Linked DNA regions of Neurospora crassa OR74A. The protein of the gene in region 1 purifies or fractionates together with the protein of each later gene. This does not show direct contact. Links are inferred from orthologs where the notes say so. Each region holds a gene or a part of one and is shown in the gene's direction. Other genes may lie near its edges.

The links.
Region 2: the proteins of NCU06749 (region 1) and NCU04171 purify together in Saccharomyces cerevisiae (affinity purification with mass spectrometry, with the first as the bait; 3 studies listed by BioGRID). This does not show direct contact. The link is inferred for Neurospora crassa OR74A from reciprocal best matches to the Saccharomyces cerevisiae genes MRPL9 and MRPL7.

Annotation. Positions count from the first base shown.
Region 1 is NC_026502.1:2,065,952-2,069,679, forward strand, and holds NCU06749 (mitochondrial 54S ribosomal protein YmL9), read left to right. Parts: upstream 1-1,512; 5' UTR 1,513-1,855; coding exon 1,856-3,010; 3' UTR 3,011-3,220; downstream 3,221-3,728. Other genes in the region: NCU06750 (coiled-coil domain-containing protein 25), read right to left, coding at 174-574, 653-756, 899-938, 1,086-1,158; NCU06748 (hypothetical protein), read right to left, coding at 3,405-3,728. UniProt on the Saccharomyces cerevisiae protein: Component of the mitochondrial ribosome (mitoribosome), a dedicated translation machinery responsible for the synthesis of mitochondrial genome-encoded proteins, including at least some of the essential transmembrane subunits of the mitochondrial respiratory chain.
Region 2 is NC_026505.1:5,078,992-5,083,225, forward strand, and holds NCU04171 (mitochondrial 54S ribosomal protein YmL7/YmL5), read left to right. Parts: upstream 1-1,632; 5' UTR 1,633-1,907; coding exon 1,908-2,164; intron 2,165-2,300; coding exon 2,301-2,985; intron 2,986-3,188; coding exon 3,189-3,305; 3' UTR 3,306-3,637; downstream 3,638-4,234. Other genes in the region: NCU04170 (hypothetical protein), read left to right, coding at 1-1,240; NCU04172 (hsp70-like protein), read right to left, coding at 3,939-4,234.

The DNA of each region.
Region 1 (3,728 bases):
GATGGGTCAAACCGGGTTTAGTTCTTAGTCTGCTGCTTTAAAGGCGGCAGCATACCAGATAGGAATCAAGGTTGGGAAGGTTCTGACGATGGCTTTCGGGCATCAAAGGATTTTCAGGTCTTATGTAGCTTGGAAAACTTCAGTAGGTTTGTTTCTTTTGTTCTCAAGCAAATTTACATGAAATCATCCTCCCAGGTCTCATCCCGATCCTGATTGCTCGAGTTCATCATGTTCTCCTCAGCAAAGAGCTCATCGTAGGCATGATCCTTCTGCCACTTCTTCTCGGCCCGCTCCTTCTTCAGGCGATCCTCCTCCTTCTTCCGCGCCAGCACCGCCGCCTGATCCTTCTTGCGCAGCTCTTTGAGATGCTGCTCCTTCTCCTCTCGCAGGTCCGGGTGCTTCTCAACCTTGGTCTTGTTCAGACGGTTGACGATAGCATTTTCGCGCTGCGCGATCAAAATGCGCTTCACCTTCTTCTGATCCTTGAAGCTGACCTGGCCGACCGCCATGCTGCCGTCCTTCTTGAGATTGGCCCATGGGGTATAGATGATTGTGATGTTGTCCTTCTTGTTACCTTTACAAAAGCACAGAGTTAGTCCTCACGAATTCCCCCATGACTTCCTGACAGTAGAATTCAAAAGCAGCAACTTACCCTCGATGGAGTTGGCCTTGGTCAACTGACCAAGGTCGGTCAGGAGCTCCTCGGGAATGTTCTCCCATGTCCAACCCTCTGGGAGACGGAGGTAGATATGAGCACTGGAAAGTTTGTCGACATGGAACTAAGTAGGGCCTAGTAATGAGAAACAGAGCATAATATGACGAGAACCTCATGGGGAGTCATACCCTACGAAGAATAGTTAGAAAATGCCGAACTAGGCTTGGCCGGGGTGAAACTTACCATACATCCTCCTCCCAGCCGTGTTGGATCAACTCCTCGTCTATAAAATAGCATGTTAGATGAGTGACGAGCTGACATCTATATCCAAGTCAAATATGCAATGTCCATGAGTGTGTCAAGATATATGCATATTCCACAAGGAGATGCAGAATACCACCAATTGTGGCTGATGATCATCTTCACGTACTCTCAAACTTGTCTTTCCCCACATAAATGAAAGCCGGGGGACTGACGACGGTCGAAGTGAAATAGAAGACCATGGTTGCTGATGCCTTTGGAAGAAATGAAAGATGGGAATATTGGGTATCTCAAAACGGCGACAATGAAAAAGACACTTCGTGCAAGAAGGGAAACCAAGATGCAAAAACGCGATTTCTTCTCTGGGGCTGTGTGGTGGTGGTTCGAGTGAAGATGTTTTAGCGGTTGAGTTTGGGGGATCCAATGCGGTAAAATGCGCCCGCACTCCAGCGGAAGTAAAACTACCTAAGTGAATAGAAAGAAGCAATTAACCCTAACCCTTCTTGTAGAGATGTCACACTCTGTACACCACAATCCGCCAAATACATAGTACCCGCCTGTGAATAGCCGCCCCTCCCCTGTCAATTGTGAATCCCCGGATGCCGAACCGATCGACGTTATCGGGGGGGGAGCATCCCGTTACTGAATTTCTGAGTGGCTATCAAATTTCTGCTGCTCCGTGCTTCGAGCCGGCGACCACCACTCCCGCACCCGCCCCAAAACCACCTCAACGGCCGCGCGCCGAAACGACCTCCCAACTCCGCCCCCTCCGGTTCGCGTCTCGAAGACAGCCGGTGTCCTTTCCATTCCCCCCACTCGACGCTCCGGGGCCCCGACATCGATACAACGAACACCGTCAGGTCCAATTGACTGCGACCAACCCCACCAAAAGCAACACAACACCACCCAACCCTCCCCTCAGACTTATACACATACACGATGGCGCCCCGGCTGCCCGCGCGCTGCTGGAGGCAGCTCTCCCTCGTCGAGAGGTCAGCCACCCACACCACAACCACCGCCGCCGCCAGCTCCCTCCTCCTCGCCGGCCGGACCACACCCACCTTCTCCGCCTCCTCGCCATCGACTGTCTTTCCCTCCCTCCTCCCTCAGATCACAAAGCGCGGCGTCAAGTACGGCTGGAGCACGCTCCCGAAGCGCAGCAGGCCCACACGATTCAACCAAGTGACGCAGGGTCTTCCGGCGCCCACCTCGGGCCCGGCCGCTGCCCTCAAGCGCCGCGAGAAGACTACACCCCTGCGCACCGGCGTGCTCGCTGTCAAGAAGGGCATGACCGTCTTCATGGGCCGCACCGGCGCCCGCATCCCCTGCACCGTTCTGCAGCTCGACCGGGTCCAAGTCGTCGCCAACAAGACGCGCGCCAAGAACGGCTACTGGGCCGTCCAGGTTGGCCTGGGCGAGCGCCGCGCCGAAAACGTGGGCGCCCCGCAGCTCGGCTACTACGAGGCCAAGGGCATCCCGCCCAAGCAGACGCTCGCCGAGTTCAAGGTGCGCAACCAGGACGGCTTGTTGCCGGTCGGCGTCCAGCTGTTTCCGGACTGGTTCCACGTCGGCCAGGTGGTGGACGTGCGCGGCATCACGCGCGGTATGGGTTTTGCCGGTGGTATGAAGCGTCACGGCTTCGCCGGTCAGGAGGCGTCGCACGGTAACTCGCTGAACCACCGTACCATTGGTTCCGTCGGTGGTTCGCAGGGCTCCGGTTCGCGTGTGTTGCCCGGCAAGAAGATGCCCGGTCGCATGGGCGCGCAGCAGCACACGGTCCAGAACCTGCCCATTCTGATGGTGGACAACGAGCTCGGCATCGTGGTGGTCAAGGGCGCGGTCGCTGGTCACAAGGGTGCGGTTGTCAAGGTTCAGGATGCTGTCAAGAAGGCTCCTCCCCCGGAGGAGTTTGTCGAGGCCACCAAGCAGCTCCTCAACGAGCGGTTCCCTGATGCGGAGGAGAAGTTGCAGGCGGCGAGGAAGTTGCACTTGGAGCTCAAGGAGGCGAGGAGACAGGGCCTGATAGATTCGCTCATCAAGAATGGGCTGACAGAGAAGGCGGATGGAAATGCTGCGGTAGAAGCTTCGGCTTAAGAGAGGGGGGCTGTCTCTGGTCTGTAGTATGTGTTTGTACTAGGTTTATGGAAGGGAATGTATGGTAAAGCCTTCCCGGTTTCTCATTTTTTTTAGTTCTCTCTTGTATGATACACACGCATCGTGGGGTGTTAAAATGTACAGCTACCGAAAATGTATAACAACTTGAACATACAACCCTTGCCCGTGATAGGTTCGTATGTTCTCTCCCTATATCTTACACATATTCCTCCTTGACAGCCTTCGGGTATTCAATCAGAGAGCCAGACCACGATCCTGTCCTTCAGCTCATCCTGTTTGAGAGGGGGAGAGGGGGACCACCACCTTCCCCGGTTCCCATATATATCCTCCCTTTTTTCAAAACTATTCCCTCCTTAAGAGCACCCCAAAACAATTACTTGGGCATCTGCCTGAAACCCCTGACCTTCGCATCCTCTGCATCATCATCCAGCTCAGGTTCCATCGCACGGCCGTTGATAGCTCTGAACGGATCGCCCTCCTCCAGCAGGTCAATGACCTTGCCGTCCTCCGTCTCCAGACTCCACTCGGTCGTCTCGAACATGCCTCGGGGCGTGGGCCGGAAGCTGGCGAAGCGCATCACGCCCGTGCGCTTGGTGCCCTTGACATTGAACTTGATGTCGATGCGGCCGTGCAGCTGGTTCATCTCGCCCGAGATCCACGGAATCTGCGCCTTGAAGTAGATCTCGTCACCCAGGTA
Region 2 (4,234 bases), on another chromosome or scaffold:
TTCCGTAAGTGTCGCTCCCACTGCAAGTGATGCTCCTACTACGAGTATCACTCTCAGCGTCGCTCCAGGATCCAGCTCATCTACTACTGCTCCTGCGGTTGTCAGTACCACTCTCTCTGCACCTACTGTCACTTCAGTCCCTCCTGCCGCTGGCACAAGTACTACAACCGCTGCGGCTGTCACGAGTACAGATCCTGCTCCAGTCACCACTACCACCACTACCGCTACTAGTTCTACTACGAACACCACCCCAGTCTTGTTTACAACTAGTACAACTACTACAACCGCCGCCGCCGTTGCTACTACAGCCCCTACTCAAGCCACCACGACCATCGCCACTGCTGCCACTACTTCCACCACGAACATCGCCTCAGCCTCGCCTACAATTCCTGCTGTTGTGAACTGGGACTACCAAGGATGTGCCAGTGACTCCAACACCGCCGCGCCTACTGCTCGCGCGCTCAATGGCACCTACCTATACGACAGCGCCGGCATGACCATTCAAAAATGTCTTAACTACTGCGCCCAGCAAAACTACCCCCTCGCCGGCCTCGAGTTCCAATCCCAATGCTACTGTGGTCTCGAGTTCAAGCCCGGCTACAGCCTCGGCCAGACTGGCTGTAATCTCACCTGCGCCGGTGACCCATCAACACGCTGCGGTGGCCGCGCTCGTCTGGACGTCTTCAGACAAACTAACTACGTGACGCCCCGGCTCGTCAACCCGTCCGTGGTTAACGGGCGCTTGGCGACGCCACAGGGTTGCTTCATCGACAACTCAACGGCTCGTATTCTCAAAGCTCACTCGTACACCAACAGCACGAGCATGACGGTCGAGATGTGCCACGAACGCTGTCAGTCGAGGGGCTACAGTCTCTTTGGCGTGGAGTTCGGCAAGGAGTGTTACTGCGGCAATTCGCTCGCGGACACGGCGGTGGCGGCGTCAGAGCTGTATGAGTGCAAGAGGTCGTTCTGCGTCGGTGATAAGACGGAGTTCTGCGGTGCTGGCTCAAGGTTGTTGCTTTACAGTATTCAGCCGGCTGGGACTACTTCTCCTGCTAGGAGGAGTATAGAAAGGAGAAACGAGGGGATGGTGAAGGTGAAGTTACCCAATTTGGGCAAAGATGGGGAGTCTGATTATGAGTTGAAATGGGATGGTGATGGGGGTGTGGGACAAGTGAGAAGAAGCGGCTCTGGGCGGAAGAATATTGAGAGGCGATGGGGACGTAGTCTTGGACGGTGATGATGATACTTGGATGTTTTTTCTGTTTTCTCTTTCTTCCCCGTTACATACTTTGTTGTTATTGCTAGACATGCTGATAAGGTGTGCGCGGAATGATGTAATTATTAGTGGCTCGGAGGATACTTCGAGCAAAGGAAGCGTACGCATATACAAGTGTCTCCTAATCTAATCATACATGTCGTCTTAATGTGTTGGAATCCTGATCTGAATCGCTTATATTGGTACAAACATAGTGATATATTTCCAAATCCATGCTTTATTTAGAGTTCATCAACCACATCAGATGCATTCTCAGGGGTCCAGGAACGCTTTCAGGGGTAACAGACTCATATCCCTAACCCCAAACTCATCCAGCTTTGGCCCGTGCTGCCAAGCATTGGCCCCGGTTCGAGACTCCGCAGAGGCTCCAAAAAAAATTCCGGCGGGCGGCACAACGGGGACCGGCACCTCTTCGAGCCTCGACGCGGGACCAGGACCTTGCGCTTGCCGGAGAAGGAACCTCGCTGCCCTCTGCCCGTCCGTGACAGACCTTCGGCCCCGATTTCCCGCGTGCGCCGGACCCTCTTCCTCAACCACCACTCCGAAGCGACAACCTCCACGGTCGCCAATTCCGAAACCAGAGCGTCCGCCCGAACGCCGGTTTCTTTTTTCGGTATCCTAATTCACCATGGCCAGTCTCCGCGGGGTCTCGCGATCGGCTCGCGCTCTTCAGCCTTTCTCTGCTCAGTTCGCCGTCCGAAGATGCGCCTCGACACAAACTGGTGCCGGCGCTGCTGCCGCTACTCCCAAATCCAACATTCCCGACCTCGCCGAGCTTGAGACACGGTCGGCATTGGACGCTCCCATCCCCAGCGAAGAGGACAAGAAGGAGTTCAGGCCATGGAAGCGCGCGGCCGACAGGAAGGCGAGGTTGCCTAGCAGCAGGTGCGTTATACACTCTCCCTCCGTCCCGTGGTTTACATAGCTAGCCACACACATGTATATATACATACATATACGCAAACCATAAACAAGATGTTTAAACGTTGCTAACCACCATGCCTCACCTCCTACCGAACAGATACCAATACCACCCCCCCAAGTACAACCGCGGCCCCCTCCACCCCATCCAATCCCCTCCCTCCTCCGACCCTATCGCCCGCGACTTCGTTCCCGGCCCCTTCAACATGCCTCGTCTCAAGGAAACCTTCCGCACCGTCATGGCCTCGGACCTCATGACCCTGGCCTACATCCACACACCCCCGGGAACGCCCAAAAAGGAACCCACGGAGCGCTTGCGTGCCTGGGAGGGCGACTCGCCCTACTTCGCCAACCGTGCCCGCCGCGCGCCCCGCGGTGCCCCCGAGCTTCCCATTCGCGAGCGCGACATTTCGTTCCGCAACATCCCCGAGATCAAGGAAATCACCGTCTCCACCTTCGTGCCGCTCGGTCTCAAGAACCCGGACTTGTTGATTGTGGCCCGGGCGGTGCTGCTGGCCATGACGGGGACGATGCCGGAGATGACGAGGTCCAAGAACAACGTGGTGCAGTGGCAGCTGCAGGCGAACAAACCGGCTGGTTGCAAGACGACGATTTACGGAAACGCGGCGTGGGAGTTTATGGATCGGTTGATCCATTTGGTTCTCCCCCGGATCAAGGATTGGAAGGGCGTGCCGGCGAGTACGGGTGATGGAAGCGGTAATGTGCAGTTTGGTTTGAATCCGGAGGATGTTCAGCTTTTTCCCGAGGTGGAATGCAACTATGATGTGAGTTTGTTTCTTGGGAAATGATGGGTGGAAGAGAAAGAGAGGACGGAGGAGAACAAAAGTTTGGAGTTGGAGCCGGAGCCGAAGCTACAGTAGGGAGGGTTCTGGTTCCGGCTCTGGCTCCGGCTTTGGCCCTACCGTCTGCTTCGTCTTCTTGTTTTCTTGGACTTGACGACAGATTACTGACTTTCTATCCTCTCCAGATGTACCCCGCCAAGATGATTCCCGGTTGCCACATCGCCATCAAGACGACAGCCACCTCCGACAGGCAGGCTAAGCTTCTGCTCCAGTCCCTCGGCGTTCCTTTCTACAGCAACTAAGCGCCAAACGGGCTGTTGATCGTGAGAGGTTGAGAAAGGGACGAGATTCAAGGAAGGGGGATGAGAAGATGATGAACAACATCTCGCATCATGATAGTTGTTGGATGACAATTGAGGAGGATGAGGAGATGTGTGAAACTTGTACAATACGAATACACTAACCACATAAGGACGATGTATGTTGGGTGTATATATACCTTTTGTAACAACATCACGAGGAGGAGGCTTATAGACGAAGTGGAAAGGAAACGGAAGAAGAACAATACCACCGGGTCTGACGGTCAAAGATCAAAGAAGTAGAATCACAAATGCGTAAAACAATTGGAAGGGTGTCATCATTGCGTGAACTGGATTGTGTAAACGGACATCGTCAAGGGTATCTGCTTCATAAACAACTCCCAAGTCTAGAACCACATATCCATATCCCAGTCTAGCTTTGCACAGAACAGGTCAAGATATTATGACAACAGAACCCATTCGTCTTGATCAACCAAGGATCTCCAAACAAAAAAAACCAAACGCCTTTTCCAATGCCAAAACCAAAACCATATCTTTTCAGTCCCATTTTCCTTTCATTTGGTCATCCCCATCATGAACCCCAAACCCTCAACCTACTCATCCCCTTAGACAGCTCTAAGCAGACTTGGCCTTGTTTCTCAAAACGTCAATAACCTCATCCACTTTATCCATATCCGCCGCATCCACCTTGGTCCCGTTGTTCACCAAAACCTCATGACCGCGCTTATGCATCTCGTCCGCCGCGACATCCATAGCCGGCTGATAATTCCTCACCGCACTGCTAAGCGCATACGTAGCCTTGCGCCTCACCTTCTCCGACTCGCCCTCCTTCATCGCCAGGTCCACCAACTTGGGCACGCCGCCCATGGCCAACAGCCGTTCCTGCGTCTTTTGGTTGTTTTGCACCGCCG